Daphnia pulex: one gene and its partners. The protein of the gene in region 1 binds, or shares a complex with, the protein of each later gene. Links are inferred from orthologs where the notes say so. Each region holds a gene or a part of one and is shown in the gene's direction. Other genes may lie near its edges.

The links.
Region 2: eukaryotic translation initiation factor 3 subunit I-like (region 1) and eukaryotic translation initiation factor 3 subunit B-like share a complex: the UniProt entries of both Caenorhabditis elegans proteins name them as parts of the eukaryotic translation initiation factor 3 (eIF-3) complex. The link is inferred for Daphnia pulex from reciprocal best matches to the Caenorhabditis elegans genes eif-3.I and eif-3.B.
Region 3: eukaryotic translation initiation factor 3 subunit I-like (region 1) and eukaryotic translation initiation factor 3 subunit G-like share a complex: the UniProt entries of both Caenorhabditis elegans proteins name them as parts of the eukaryotic translation initiation factor 3 (eIF-3) complex. The link is inferred for Daphnia pulex from reciprocal best matches to the Caenorhabditis elegans genes eif-3.I and eif-3.G.
Region 4: eukaryotic translation initiation factor 3 subunit I-like (region 1) and eukaryotic translation initiation factor 3 subunit F-like share a complex: the UniProt entries of both Caenorhabditis elegans proteins name them as parts of the eukaryotic translation initiation factor 3 (eIF-3) complex. The link is inferred for Daphnia pulex from reciprocal best matches to the Caenorhabditis elegans genes eif-3.I and eif-3.F.

The regions. Positions count from the first base shown.
Region 1 is NC_060019.1:6,193,249-6,196,741, reverse strand, and holds eukaryotic translation initiation factor 3 subunit I-like, read left to right. Parts: upstream 1-1,418; 5' UTR 1,419-1,565; coding exon 1,566-1,568; intron 1,569-1,634; coding exon 1,635-1,881; intron 1,882-1,947; coding exon 1,948-2,230; intron 2,231-2,296; coding exon 2,297-2,498; intron 2,499-2,563; coding exon 2,564-2,812; 3' UTR 2,813-2,950; downstream 2,951-3,493. Other genes in the region: regulator of telomere elongation helicase 1 homolog, read right to left, coding at 1-29, 89-202, 274-600, 685-975, 1,042-1,143. UniProt on the Caenorhabditis elegans protein: Component of the eukaryotic translation initiation factor 3 (eIF-3) complex, which is involved in protein synthesis of a specialized repertoire of mRNAs and, together with other initiation factors, stimulates binding of mRNA and methionyl-tRNAi to the 40S ribosome.
Region 2 is NC_060026.1:9,963,254-9,967,570, reverse strand, and holds the start of eukaryotic translation initiation factor 3 subunit B-like, read left to right. Parts: upstream 1-1,475; 5' UTR 1,476-1,600; coding exon 1,601-1,733; intron 1,734-1,811; coding exon 1,812-2,007; intron 2,008-2,072; coding exon 2,073-2,379; intron 2,380-2,460; coding exon 2,461-2,856; intron 2,857-2,923; coding exon 2,924-3,171; intron 3,172-3,232; coding exon 3,233-3,477; intron 3,478-3,538; coding exon 3,539-3,708; intron 3,709-3,769; coding exon 3,770-3,973; intron 3,974-4,047; coding exon 4,048-4,156; intron 4,157-4,220; coding exon 4,221-4,317. Other genes in the region: DNA-dependent protein kinase catalytic subunit-like, read right to left, coding at 45-157, 277-466, 537-715, 785-893. UniProt on the Caenorhabditis elegans protein: RNA-binding component of the eukaryotic translation initiation factor 3 (eIF-3) complex, which is involved in protein synthesis of a specialized repertoire of mRNAs and, together with other initiation factors, stimulates binding of mRNA and methionyl-tRNAi to the 40S ribosome.
Region 3 is NC_060023.1:11,177,224-11,180,729, reverse strand, and holds eukaryotic translation initiation factor 3 subunit G-like, read left to right. Parts: upstream 1-1,250; 5' UTR 1,251-1,367; coding exon 1,368-1,387; intron 1,388-1,454; coding exon 1,455-1,495; intron 1,496-1,562; coding exon 1,563-1,801; intron 1,802-1,866; coding exon 1,867-2,034; intron 2,035-2,100; coding exon 2,101-2,251; intron 2,252-2,262; exon of another isoform or gene 2,263-2,371; coding exon 2,372-2,484; exon of another isoform or gene 2,485-2,554; coding exon 2,555-2,685; exon of another isoform or gene 2,686-2,844; coding exon 2,845-2,863; 3' UTR 2,864-2,946; downstream 2,947-3,506. Other genes in the region: tRNA (guanine-N(7)-)-methyltransferase-like, read right to left, coding at 68-205, 265-366, 447-591, 655-808, 873-991, 1,060-1,136; flocculation protein FLO11-like, read right to left, coding at 3,083-3,271, 3,348-3,506. UniProt on the Caenorhabditis elegans protein: RNA-binding component of the eukaryotic translation initiation factor 3 (eIF-3) complex, which is involved in protein synthesis of a specialized repertoire of mRNAs and, together with other initiation factors, stimulates binding of mRNA and methionyl-tRNAi to the 40S ribosome.
Region 4 is NC_060026.1:11,480,245-11,483,547, reverse strand, and holds eukaryotic translation initiation factor 3 subunit F-like, read left to right. Parts: upstream 1-1,459; 5' UTR 1,460-1,511; coding exon 1,512-1,620; intron 1,621-1,792; coding exon 1,793-2,081; intron 2,082-2,148; coding exon 2,149-2,240; intron 2,241-2,298; coding exon 2,299-2,549; intron 2,550-2,612; coding exon 2,613-2,696; 3' UTR 2,697-2,743; downstream 2,744-3,303. Other genes in the region: transcriptional adapter 2-beta-like, read right to left, coding at 6-247, 314-552, 616-772, 831-890, 1,035-1,132, 1,206-1,212; cyclin-dependent kinase 1-like, read right to left, coding at 2,980-3,232, 3,301-3,303. UniProt on the Caenorhabditis elegans protein: Component of the eukaryotic translation initiation factor 3 (eIF-3) complex, which is involved in protein synthesis of a specialized repertoire of mRNAs and, together with other initiation factors, stimulates binding of mRNA and methionyl-tRNAi to the 40S ribosome.

The DNA.
Region 1 (3,493 bases):
TCACTGTTTTCTCGGAATTTTTTCATGACCTGGAGTAAAAAGAACGCTAGAAGAATATACACCACATAATAAAAAGGATGTCGTTTACCTGGGTGACTTCATCAACACAAAGGGCTATATCTAAACTTCTAAGTTCAATAGATGAAGATTCTTCACACATTTTCTCAACATTGTGGGCCTCATCAAATATAACAATATTTCCCTAAACAAGCACAAAAAAAGAAGTTAATATTTCATGCACCTTTAAAGACTACTAAATGTACTGGGAATTACCTGGAGTTCAATGTTGTGAATTTTTCTCACTTTAGGATCAAGAAGGTAGTTGTATGGCATAAAGATGATGTCAGCTACCTTACGAATTTCTTTTGTCATAAAATAAGGGCAAGCAGAATGTTTTTTCCCCAAAGTCACCAAGTCTTCAATATCCAATACATCCATTTTGAAGTCTGGTTCCTCTTTCTTAGCATCTAGATTTGTGTGGAAGTAGCAAGTACGAGTAGTAGTTCTAGCATGGCACATGTGAAGCTTTACAGCATTGTTTGTTTCCTTTGACACTTCTGGATGAATGCACAGTTGGTCACGAGATCCAAGGATGCATACCTTAAATGAAGAAAAATAAAATAAGGGTTATCAAAACCCATTTCATGTAGGCAAATAGCTTTAATGGAAGAAGGAAATGCTCACCTTCATATATCTGTAAGAGGACCGTTTTAATTCAGAAATGACCTGGCTGAGCTGAGAATGAGTTCTGGATGCATAAATGATTTTGGGTACTCCAGCTCCAGGAGTAGCAGCATCTCCCCATCCAAGCCCAGTTGCATTACTTAATTGATTTTTAATATCCACTCCCATATCTCCAGCTAATTGACCAGACTGTATTTGTGCTTTTCGTGTTGCTAACCAACCCAATGTCGAACAAAGTAAGCACAAAGTTTTTCCTGTGCCAGTAGGAGATTCCAACAAACCATTTACACCCTATTTAATCAAGAATAACAAAATAAGAGCAAGGTGTCCACTGACCGATAACGCAACACTAGTTACTTTTTGAAGACATTCTATCACACGCTCCATGAATTTCTCTTGTACATCATAAGGCTGGAATGGAAATTCAATGGGAACATTATTTAAAACCAAATTCACCATTCTAGATAAATAATTTTGGTAATTGTGTTCCACGAGACACACGCAATGTGAAGGAACACGCAATGTGAGGGAACCCGCCAAAATAGTTGAATGAGAATAGCAGACGATGTTAAAACTGCTTTAACTTCCCTAGCGAGTAGCGCCCTCTGAAACAAATCGAAAAGTAAAATTATTTTTGCTAGTGTCATTTTAACGTTACGCGTGATTAAAGAATAAAAATTAATTTTTTTTTTTTTTGTATAAAGTTTAACAGTTTTGATAAGATTAAAGATGGTTCGTTTTTTGGTGGGTGGGTGGCAACACTGTAAAATCGAGCAGGGCCGGCAGACGAGTGTTGTAAAAACGTCGAAAGGCCTCAGTCGCCCCACGCCGAAAGAAGTGTACGTCATTATTACAGTTGTGACCAATTAATATAAACAAAAATGGTAATTTTCAGTGCATTTCTGTTATTTAATTTCATTATATTAATCCACTGTTATTGTTGATCACAGAAACCTCTTATGCTTCACGGTCACGAGCGTTCAATCACGCAAATTAAGTACAACCGGGATGGAGATTTGCTCTTCTCGTCAGCCAAGGACAACCACCCTTGTGTCTGGTATTCAGTCAATGGAGAACGATTGGGTACCTACGAGGGACATCAGGGTGTCGTATGGGCGATTGATGTTGATTGGGAAACTAAACGTTTCATGTCTGGTGCTGGTGATAATATGCTCATGATCTGGGATGTCCAAACTGGTATGTTCAGTGAGAAATGACCCCATTGCGTAATTACGACTTAAACTTTTCTTTGTTTTTTTTTAGGCAAGGCTTTGGGTAAAATTGAAGCCAAGACTTCAGTTCGTACATGCAACTTCAGTTACAGTGGAAACATGGCCCTTTACTCAACAGACAGTACTATGGGTAACCCTTCAGAGATCTTCATCATTGATGTCAGAACGGTTGACTCTTCCTTCAGTGAAAATGACCCCATCCTGCGAATTCCATTAACTAATGCCCCTAAAGCCACATCAATGGTTTGGGGTAATCTAGATGAGGTTGTTATTTCTGGTCACGACAATGGTGACTTGGCCCAATGGGACCTCAGGTGAGAATGACATTGTCGTAACCTTGAGTGCTTAAAACTAAATCCTGTTTATTATTTATACTACAGAACTGGCAAGAAGAACAACCTGGTTTCAGAACACGCCAAGTCTATCAACGACATGCAGCTGTCCAAAGACGGAGCTCTCCTCATCACTGCATCCAAGGATTGCACTGCAAAACTCTTTAACGCCGAAACGTTAGAGTGCCTAAAAACTTACAAAACTGAGCGACCCGTCAACAGTGCCGCCATCTCACCCATCATGGATCACGTATGATCCTTGAGCTTCTAAATGATTCAGTTGATCGATTCTAACTGTTTTCCTTCAATCTTCAGGTGGTGTTGGGAGGTGGTCAAGATGCCATGGACGTAACGACGACCTCAACGCGTGTCGGCAAGTTCGACGCCCGTTTCTTCCATCTGGTTTTCGAAGAAGAATTCGCTCGTGTCAAGGGCCATTTCGGTCCTATCAATTCTCTGGCCTTCCATCCCGACGGAAAGACGTACGCCAGTGGTGGTGAAGATGGTTACGTTCGTTTGAATCAATTCGACCAGTCTTACTTTGACTTTAAATTCGATTACTAAACCAGAAGAAAAGCGAAAAACCTACGAAGAACCCAATCCATCATCTATGAACACTTGTCTTGTGTTTATTTTTTGACCACTTTCGTGTACATGGGCGATATAAGAGAAGGTATTTGAATACATCATGTTGGAAAGGTCTCGAGTGAGAATCTTTTTTGGGGGGAAAATTTATTTCTCAAGAGAGGGCACGAGACGAAATTAAGCGTATACAAACAGGTTCGAGTCGCCTGTTTAAGAGGAGAAAACATAACTGATATTGTTTACAAACAATTCTTTTGAAATCTTTTTCTTCTGACGAAGTCCATTACAGGGTTTACGATATTCTAATCACCTACTGTTGCGCATCCCAAGAAAACTTGGCATTTTGCGAAGAGAAAGAGCTCATCAGTTTCCTTCTGGTAGAAGTTTTAATGGGAGACATTCTTGTCCCAGCTGAACGCATTGGAACTTATTACGACTCTAGCGTCTTGCCAACATGGTCGGGACTATCTCGAGCGACAAGGAATCATTGAGAAGCTCGCCGGTAATTTGGACGAGGCTCCTGCAGATCCTCTTGCCTCGCCTGCTCGTTCCCGGGCTTATGAAATTTATCGGTTCGCTGGCTCATTTTCAACCGGATGTATTAGCCAGATATCCGAACTTTACAAATACGATGTTCAACTTGATCGACGACTCCGACGT
Region 2 (4,317 bases), on another chromosome or scaffold:
TTTGATTTTACAGAACGTAATTATTTACGTTAATGTTTAGTTACCTCCTTTTCAAGTTCATAAAGGAGTTGGTTAATGATGCGACTGGCCTTTTCCTTCAGTGTACTAGGAAAGTACTGGGCCAGTCTGCCTAGGAGTACTAGGAAATTCATTTTCGCTAAAGTAAAACATAAATATTATAAATAACCATAGAAATACATATCTATGCATACACAGTAATAATACAATCTGCATAACAAACAGGGTAATTATACAATAGTCTTTTTAATTAATCACCTTTGCTTGAACTATCATCAGAAGATGTAGCCATTTTTTCAAAAAGCATATTAGAAAGGGCTGGCAAATTCAGTTCTTCTAATATTTCTGTTGGTGAAGTTTGAGCAGTAATAACAACTTGGCAAAGAACAAAATAACAAGCTCCTCGTATCTTAGAATTTTTGGAGTTCATGTACATCAATGCTAAATTCTTAAGGTAAATGAAAGTTATACTATTAGGTTTTTACACATAGCTAGGTAATATTAATTATTTTCCATACTTTAATAACCACTAAATGGTTGCTCATGGATTCTCCAAATTTTTCCAGTAAATCACCCAAAATTGACAGGGCACAATTTATTATTTCTGCAAAGTTGTCATCCTTTTGAGAATCTCTGAACTTGGACAACAAGGAAATTAATCCAATTTCTTTGTTTAGTAAAGCCGAGACAACAGAATCTTTAGAAAAAATACAATGTAAATGAATTGATTAACATGTTTTTGATGGGACCAATATTTGAAACCTACTGTCTTTGGTTTTGGATACAACATCTTTAATATCCTTGATTTGCTCCAGCATATCGCTGCACGTTCCAGAATGCATCTGAAATAGATAACCTTCCAATACGCTGTCCATTTTATATTCCTCGATGTTACCGACAACCGGACACTTTTAAAAGGCCAACTTCTTCTCGATTATTCGCAATTTTTACGACTTTAAAACTTTAATCATACATATTTAAATGTTAAGACAAGTTTTCAATTGTAGTGGTTCTTCAAAATTTTGCGATCAACGTTAACTCACGTAGGTTATAGGCCTAAGTGATGTTTTCATCCCTCCCGGGTTATGATGATTCGGCTGCTAGAATTGTGCTTTTGCGTAGGCATATTTGCCATGACTGATAGTTAGGCGTAATACATATTTGTAAAATATTCGCTATCATGGTTTTAAAATATCATTACGTTACTTTAAAAATATTTAAAAAAATTATTACCAACTCATTCCTCAAATGGGTATAAGGATTCAACTTTTTTGGAAATGAATAAATGTAGGCTATTTTCTGAAAACAAAAAAAAATCCAATGTATGATTATAATGCGAATAAAAATCAAGAAAAAATAATAATAATAAAAAATCTAAATTATTTTCCCTTCAGAAGATCCCGTTCTAGCTGACAGGCTAGGCTAGTCACCAAGTTACCTATGGTGTTTGGTGAATGGTGATTGCCTGATTGGTGGATGGTGGTTGCCTTGGCCTTCTCGATGGTAGTATTATTTGTTGAAATCTGGCACAGGCTTCCGCCATTAAAGACTCGTGTCCGGTGTGCAGTGCTTGTTTTTCATCATGGCTCGACGAAAAGAAAATGATCGAGCTCAGCAAAATAACGATGACTCGGATTCTAACCCAAACGATGAATTAGAAGACGAGCCCAACTTCGATGATCCGGAAGGTTATGAGGACGATATTTCTGAAGAAGGTACCGTTTGTAACTTACCTTTTGCCATATGGCTTTCCTGAGCATGCCGGCATTGAATCTTGCTAACTGTCAATGTAGATCTTATAGGTGACCTCATCAGGCAGCGTCCGAAAGAAACCGACGGAGTCGAATCAATTGTTGTTATTGACGGTGTTCCTCAGGTTGGTACTGAGAGGATAGAAAAACTTCAAAATGTCCTGAGAAAACTATTCCAAAAGTTTGGAAAAATAACTAATGAATATTATCCTCTTAATGCTGATGGATCAACTAAAGGGTAATTTATTAGTTTTTTTTTTAACTTTTGTGTCAGCCCAATTTTAACATAATATACTTTTGAAGCCATGTTTTCATAGAGTACTCAAATGCCAATGAAGCATTGGAAGTTCTTAAAGGAACTAATGGTTACAAGTTCGACAAAAATCACACCTTCACTGTGAACTTACTTACTGACTTCGAAAAATATAATGACATTCTTGATAAGTGGGAAAATCCAATTCCTCAGCCGTTTAAGGAGCAAGGATGCCTTCAATACTATCTTCTTGATCAAGACGCTTGTGACCAATTCTCAGTTGTGTATGAGCAGGGAGACAAAGTTGCTGTTTATTTGAACACTCAACCTGAACCCTCTCTGCTGGAAGAAAGACCTGTGAGTCACTTCACCTTTATTATTATTATTATTTTTTTTTTTCATATTAAAATTTTATCTGACCAATAATTATCTTCACAGAGATGGACTGAGACTCTAGTGCGGTGGTCACCTCTTGGCACCTATCTAGCCACTTTCCATGCAAAGGGTATAGCTCTTTGGGGTGGTGAAAAGTTTCAACAAATTGTGCGCTTCAGTCATCCAGGAGTGCAATTCATTGACTTCTCACCATGTGAGAAGTATTTAGTATCTTTTAGTCCACTGGCTGATTCAAGAGCAACTGATGAACCACAAGCCATCATCATTTGGGACGTGTTGAGCGGTCTTAAGCGACGAGCTTTTAATGCCGATAAATCTCAAGCCCTGCCCATTTTTAAGTGGTCGCATGATGACAAGTATTTCGCTAGGATGGGAATCGACATGCTTTCTGTTTATGAAACCCCATCATTTGGCCTTTTAGACAAGAAGTCGATCAAAGTAACGTACACGATTTACAAAATCTTCTAATAACCATTTCCTAACATGCACTCTTACATTTTGATAGGTTCAAGGAATTCGAGATTTTGCCTGGAGCCCAACAGACAATACGATTGCTTATTGGGTCGGAGAGGAGAAAGATACTCCTGCTCGCGTCACACTTCTTGAGTTGCCAAGTCGCAATGAAGTGCGAGTCAAAAATTTGTTTAGCGTTGCCGACTGTAAAATGTATTGGCAAAAATCAGGTGACTATTTGTGTGTGAAAGTCGACCGCTATGCCAAATTAAGGAAAGATAAGTCCGATATCAAATACAGGTAATGAGATGCCACTCCTTCAATTAATAGATATAAAAGCTAATTTTCCCCCCTTTGATAGCGGTATCTACTACAATTTGGAAGTTTTCCACATGCGAGAAAAACAAATTCCAGTCGACTCGGTAGAAATCAAGGAAACCATTCAAGCTTTTGCGTGGGAGCCAGTTGGTACTAAGTTTGCCGTCATCCACGGTGAGCCACCGAGTACTTCTGTTTCTTTCTTCGAAGTTAAAACTGGACAAACGCCTACGATGGTTAAAAAATACGAACGTAAACCTTGCAACCAGTTGTACTGGGCCCCTTCTGGTAAGAAAACATTAAATTTAATGTTAAAATTCTAAAATCCTTACTATACTTTATCGAACAGGCCAGTTCATTGTGTTAGCCGGCCTACGTGCCATGTCTGGCACATTGGAATTTGTCGACACCCATGATTTTACCGTCATGAATACGGGCGAACACTTCATGGCTACTGATGTGGAGTGGGATCCAACCGGTCGGTATGTCGCAACTGCTGTTTCCTGGTGGGGTCACAAGGTAACAAAAATCAAGCAATGTATTCATTTTTGACAATGTTTGATCTCTTGTACTTTGACAGGTCGATAATGCCTACTGGTTGTGGTCCTTCCAAGGACGCATTCTCAAACGCGTAGCACTAGACAAATTCTGTCAGCTGCAATGGAGACCTCGACCACCTTCATTACTTCCAGCCCAACAAATAAAGGACATTAAGAAGTCTTTGAAGAAATTTAGTGCCCAATTCGAAGTGAAGGATCGATTGAAAATGACTAAAGCTTCCAAAGTAAATATTTTTTGAATGTGTAATTTTTGGCGAAAGTATTTTCTAAAAATCTGACATTTTCAAACTTCACCCAGGAATTGGTAGAAAAACGCCGCAAACTGATGCAAGAATATGAAGACTTGCGTAAGCAGAAGCAAGAGGACTATGACGCTCAACGTCGCCGTCGTATCGAATTGCGCAACAGTAAGTTCTTAAACCTAGTTAATAAGTAAGCTTATCAGGATTTAACTCACAAATGAATTCACAGACGTGGATACGGATGAAACTGAAGGCCGTGGAGGGGAATTAGAAGAGGAGACAGTCGAGTTTTTCATTAAAGAGGAGACGACATTCATCGACGAGTA
Region 3 (3,506 bases), on another chromosome or scaffold:
CAGCAAACAGTTCCATTGGGAGCAATACAAGTGACGAGCAGGGAACCGGCAAACAAATTTGTATACATTAGCACTTGTTTTCTTCAAGTACGAATGGATCAGGAATTCTTCTGAATACAGCAAGAAATTTATCACCACTATTTCGCGTGACTTTTTTGCCCTCCTCCGTTGATTCGTACAGTTTTGGAACTACAATGTCTTGATCCTGATACCGCAAAAAGAATTTGTAGTTTTATAGCTATTTAATTATAAAGTATAACTAACCAGCTCTTCCTGGGTTAGTCTCTTAAATAATGGATGTTGGTCTAGATGCATAACCATCCATTCATGAAGATCTTTAACATCAGTAATTGTGTAAACCAAACCCTAAAGTAAAATTTAATTAATCACACAAGATATCTACATCAAGTAGCTAAAGAAGGGCCGTTCTAGGCCTGCCTACTTACCCCTTCAGCCAAAACATAGGCATATTCAGCCAAGAGAGTGTCATTGATAATACGCCACTTGTGTTTGGCCTTCTTAAAATGAGGATCAGGGAAGAGGAAAAACATTTTTGTCAATTGTCCTTTATCGAAAAAGCAAGGGAGGTACCTAGTAGCATAGAATAAATTAAGCAAACATGCCCAAGTAAATGAACAAAATAAATGTAAGTACTTCATGGCATTGCTTCTTAAGCAGGCAACATTTCCGTAATCACCTGGATGCAAAATCCTCAACGCCTTTATGCGATCCTGGACATATTCTGAAACTTTCAAACGAATCTCCATTCCTAACATTAAAGTCTCTGGGAACATGGTGGATAATGATACTGTTAAAAAAAAATACAAAATTAATTTTCCACATATTTTATTGGCAAAATGTGATAAAAATACTCAATAAACCGCCATAGCCACATCCAATATCAGCAAACTGAACTTTGTGTTTCATTATTCCATCTTTGCTGAATGTAGGATAGAGCTCATCCCATTTCATGTCATTGGGAGAGACAGGACTTCAAACGACAAATTGGGTTAGAAAATGACTTAATGATAAATCGAAAACTGGAAATAAGATACTCACTAGTCAAAACAGTGATCTGCGATAGGATTGGAGTGTGCTCTTTGTCGATAATATTTTTTCTGTGGTAAGCTAGCCATTTTTGCTGTATTCGAGTTCCACGTGCCGGAATCTCATAAACGGCGGGATTGTATTCGAAGAAGAGCAGACGAAATTGTAAAAGCAGTCAAAATTACGAAATGAATTTTTCAAAACTGGCAATGTCGCTCTACACACGTTCTAATGGCTGCTTGCTGACACATTTCTGCAATAGCAGTGAATTTTCTACTTTTTGATTATTTACTTGACGTAATCAATCTTCTCCAAGAAAAATGCCGGTTGCTGATAATGAGTAAGTGAAATGAGACAAATTAATGTGCAAATATTAAAAATACAACACAATCTTGATATGATTTCAGAGTTAAATCCAGTTGGGCCGATGACGTTGAGGATATCGATGGTTAGTAATGCCGCTTCCCCGTAATTAATGTAAGATTTTCTTTAATCATGCCGGTATTATTCCTTAGGTCTCGGTTTACCCCCTAACACTGAAGAATACAAAAATGGGCTGAAAATTGTCACAGAGTATGGTCTTGATGATGATAACAGGAAGTTCAAGGTGGTGCGTACTTACAAAATAGAGAAAAGGTATGTAGCTAAAGCCATTGCCCAGCGTAAAAGTTGGCCAAAATTTGGTCTTTCCAAGGAAGATAAACCAGGACCAAACCCTGCAACAACAATTGTATCTGAAGATGTAGCCATGCAGGTATTTCTTTTCTCAGTTGATCTATCAAAACCGTTGGATGCTAATTACCATTTTTACTTTGACAGTTTATTACGAACAAAGAGGATCCTGATAACAAGGAAGATGACCCTCTTATGAAGTTAAAAAGCATGCAGAAGGGCATTGTTAAGTGTCGTATCTGTAAAGAGGACCATTGGACAACACAGTGTCCTTACAAGGACACACTTTTGCCTGTCCAAGAAGCACTCAATAAGGTAAACACATTTTCTTTATTTTGAATTGAACTCTTGCTAATTTTGCTCTATATCTCTTTAATTAAGGCTGAGGAGAAGAAGGCCGGCCCGCCTCCTGCCGCAGCTGCTGCTGGAGGACCGCAAGCCAAGGGTGGTAAAGAAGGAAGCGCCTATATTGCACCTGCACTTCGTGATGGTGGCAACAGAAAAGGAGAGACTATGGCTATGGGTCGACGAAGTAAGATACAGTTTCTTCATAGTAGTTTATTTCATATTATTAAAACCACCGGAGAAGTAATAGAAAACATACATAGGAAAAACATTATTTAATGATTACCCTTTTCTTTCCCGATAACAGCTGATGAAGGGTGCACTGTACGAGTAACCAACCTCTCGGAAAACGCTCGCGATTCCGATCTTCAAGAATTGTTCGGCCGTATTGGCGAAATCTCACGCATCTTCCTCTCAAAGGTTAGACTCAAATTTATTCACTAATTATCATTTTGTAAAAATTATGGCACCGCTTCAAACTGAATTTTAGGACAAAAACACTGGCCAATCCAGAGGTTTTGCATTTGTCAGCTACAAACGACGAGAAGACGCCGAACGAGCTATCAAGACCTTGAATGGTTTTGGTTACGACCATCTTATCCTGACTGTCGAATGGTCTAAGTAAGTTAGCTCTCAATTCACTTAATTTCATTCAAAATAGTTGTGAGCTGAATTTGAAATTCATGACTGGAATTTTTAAAATTTTATTTTTTAACAATTTAGTTCTTTAAATTGACGAGTCAAATGAAACTGATCTTTCTCTTTTCAATCGTTTAACAGACCATCGGGAACACAGTGAAAAAAGCCTAAAATTCCTTCATCAAATATTGGATGCTACGATCATGTAAAGGGATAAAAAAAATACACGCAAATGGATTCCAATCAAGCTCTTCAACCCTCTATCACAGACATGAACCGAATTTTCACCTTTCTCTTTTGTCTTTCTAAGCTAAACATCAAGGGAATGAGGATTACCTCACCTAAACATTATTTTTAAGTGAAAAAAAAGTAAAGTTATCTAGTTTTGCGCTGATTCATCCTCGGCTTGACGTGCAAGATGATAGCCCCTGCTGTTACTGCTAAAGCCTCGTCCTTTACGTTTTGCCAGGTACCAGGCTACAAAAAAGACTGTCGTGATAAAAATGGTGCATCCTAGAACTATGTACATCAGGGAAAGTGGATTCGACTCGATCAATGCGCCTGTTACCTGTATCAACACGGTAAACAAAACAGACGGGTTATAAATACGTAGTGGAAATCATTAGCATTTAAATTTAACGTACCGTTGGGAATATCATCTCTCCCATTGAAGAAGCAACTGAGAAAGCCGCAGAAATCCGGTTAGTTACCAGCAGGTGTGTTTCGGTCCATATGAAGCCTGTTGCGAAGGTTGAAGCCATTCCTACGCCAACCAAGGCCGAACCGACGTACAAAATAGTGGC
Region 4 (3,303 bases), on another chromosome or scaffold:
ATTACTTTTCCTTTTGGGACTCCCTTTTTTTTGCGGCAGTCGTAGGTTTTTCCTTCTCTTTCTTGATAGCGTTAAAAAATTGGGATACCAGTTGAAAATCCCGAGCAACCCGCTTCCTTCGGGCTCTTTCCCTCAGGCGGCGAGTATACATATCGACTTGAGCCAGTTTTAGAGCCAAATCAATATCCTCGTCGTCATGATTAATGGCAAGATGAGAAACAATTGCCTCAGCTTCATTGTCATGTTCCTACAAAAAATAAAAATAATGTTGAAGTTTTTAAGACAATTTGTTTCATGACAAATTAAGACCCACCCTTTCAAAATCATCTCTTTGAGGCATGTATCCAAGTTCTAATGTTTCTTCAGGTTGAATAGCTAAAGGTGGTAGTCGTGATGTGATGGATGGAGATAGAGGTGCATTATCTGGACAAGTGTGATCAATTGCTGCCAAGCGAGACTCTCCACTTGCGAGAAGTCCATTTGGAAGCCCTTGCCATGTTAGTTTACCTATTGTTCCTGTGACAAATCTATCACAGTACTGTTCTTTGCATTCTGTAAAAAAAACATAATTGGAGAGTAACTGATGATAAAATCCTGATAAAAATCAACAATTACTTTCTGAATCCCGTGTTTCTACATGTTTCGCAACATCTTCCCAATTTCCATAACCAAACTGTTCTATTGCATCAAGTAACTGATAGTCTTCCCTTGCAATCCAGCCACCTTCATCCTCCCTTTGTTGGTCAGGAAAAATACTAAAAGTACCAGGATCCTAGAAATTAAAAATAAAGTATTTATTGAGAGTTTGATAGAAAAACTTAAATACTCACTATTAATCTATATCCATGACTACTTTTATGTGGTCCAATTTCACAGCCAAGAGAGAAACACTAGAAAGAAACATTGCAAAACTGTGTTATTAAAATAATTCAAATTCGCCGCCGACCAACCGGCAATACCACTCCGGTGGGCGTCATAACAAACAACAAAGAAGGAAGGGGAGGGATTCATTCAACGAAGATTTTATACCACACCTGTAAACAAAGTTCGTAATCGACACAAACGTTACATCGGATTCGAATGCCAAGGATGTCGTCCTGACAGTAGCCACATCGATGCTTCATAAATAAATCTGAGGAATGGATACAGAAAGAAAGATTTTCAATTTTCGAAAATAAGGATTCAACGAGAGCATTTTTTTTTACCCGCCATCTTTAGCCTTCCCTTCCCATCAAGAACAACTAAGCTATGCCAACGCTAGCGAAAGCATTGGTCGCGCCCTCTGGTGACTGAGAAGTGAGAAGTCTTTAAAAAATAATTAAAATGACGTGTAAAATTTATAAACAATGTACACCGTACATTTTATTAAATTAAATTTTTTTTAATGTATAACGAGACGTGTTTGGTAAATAGAAATAATTCAACGTATTATATATCACCAATTGGCAACTAGTTCGTGTCGGCTTTTTCAGCTCCAATGCGGTAGTGGTCTGCAAAAAAAGTCACGCAAAATGGCTCTCAATCTGACTGTCAAGTTGCATCCTGTTGTATTATTTCAGATTATTGACTCTTATGAGCGTCGTAATCCTGATGCACAGAGAGTAATTGGAACGTTGCTTGGTAACATACAATTTAGATCATCCGTTTGCTTTCGCGTTTTATTGTTTTTTCGACTGTTGACACGTGTATCGGTATCGAGTACCTGACAAAATCTTTGGATTATATACCTAAATTCCTATAATATGCGAAATCGAAGTTGTGATAACTCATTTTTCATATTGATTTTTTCCAGGCACATCAGATAAAAATGGTGTGGAAGTGACCAATTGCTTTTGTGTGCCTCACAATGAATCAGAAGAAGAAGTGGCTGTGGAATTGGACTTTGCCAAGGATATGTATGACTTGCATCGTAAAGTTAATCCCCAAGAAAGCATTGTAGGTTGGTGGGCAACTGGTACTGGAGTCACATCTCACTCTGCTCTTATTCATGAGTACTACTCCAGAGAGTCCTCCAATCCTGTTCACATTACAGTGGACACCACATTGCAAGATACCCGTATGGGAATCAAAGCTTATGTCAGGTACATGCTATTAATTCAGTATGATACAATTGCTTTGAAAAATAATTATCTTTAAATTATCATCTAGTGTCCCAATGGGTATCACAGGCAAAACTATGGGATGCATGTTTGCTCCTGTTTCTGTTGAGATAGCATGCTATGACCCAGAAACTATTGGATGTAATTATAATAGAAAATGTGTATGTATACTGGGAATTAATCTTTGATTGTTTTTCAGTAAATGCCTGCCAGAAAACCAAAACCTCGGTTAAACGTCAAGCGGGCATCGCTTCGGATCTTACTCAGATTGTTGAAGCCTCGCAGCAGATGGAAAACATGCTGGACACTATCTTGGCTTATGTTGACGACGTAATGAGTGGCTCCAAAACGGCTGACAACACGTTTGGTCGTTCTCTATTAGATATGGTTCATTCGGTACCTAAAATGACACCCGACGAATTTGAAGAGATGCTTAATTCAAACCGAAAGGTAGAAAACATTACCCAATATTTACTTATTTAATCTAATTTTTGTAAAACTTTATTAATTTAGGATTTATTGATGGTATTATATCTATCACAACTTACCAAGACTCAACTGTCGCTGAACGAAAAACTCACATTGTTGACAATTTAATTCAGAACGTTGATATAAAAAATAAAAATGAACATCTCCCAATTAAATTACAATTTTCTGATGTAGTCCTCGTGAGCATATTTATTAGGAAACTATAGTATACAGTCACACGTACACAAGGGGGAAGAAAATTTCTTCGCTACCAAGGAAAAGAATCACACCCATCTTCTCTCAGAGAGCAAAAAAAATGATGATTAGGAAAAGCGAAAAACAGAATTTCAAGAAACGACCATCAGGAAGTTGGCCAGGTTTAGTAGCTATCGTTTACATGAGGAATGCTTAATTAAGCAGGCACATTGGTGGGTAAGATAGATTTATCCAGATCGGTAAACCAAGCATGATCTAAAGCATCCTGAGCCGTGATACGAAGGGCTGGATCGTAAATGAGAGTTTTTTGAAGCAGATCAAATCCAATCGAGTCAAGTTGCTTCACGGAATTTTGAAGGTGGTAAGTATTCCAATTAGGGAAAGTAGGTTTATAGTCGGGCATTTTTGAAACGCCTGGCCACATTTCCTCCGTGGGCGTCTTCATTACTCTGTGTTTCAAATAAAATAGGAACAAATGTAATTTTAAAAATAAAAAAAAAAGGACAAGTAACACTACCGG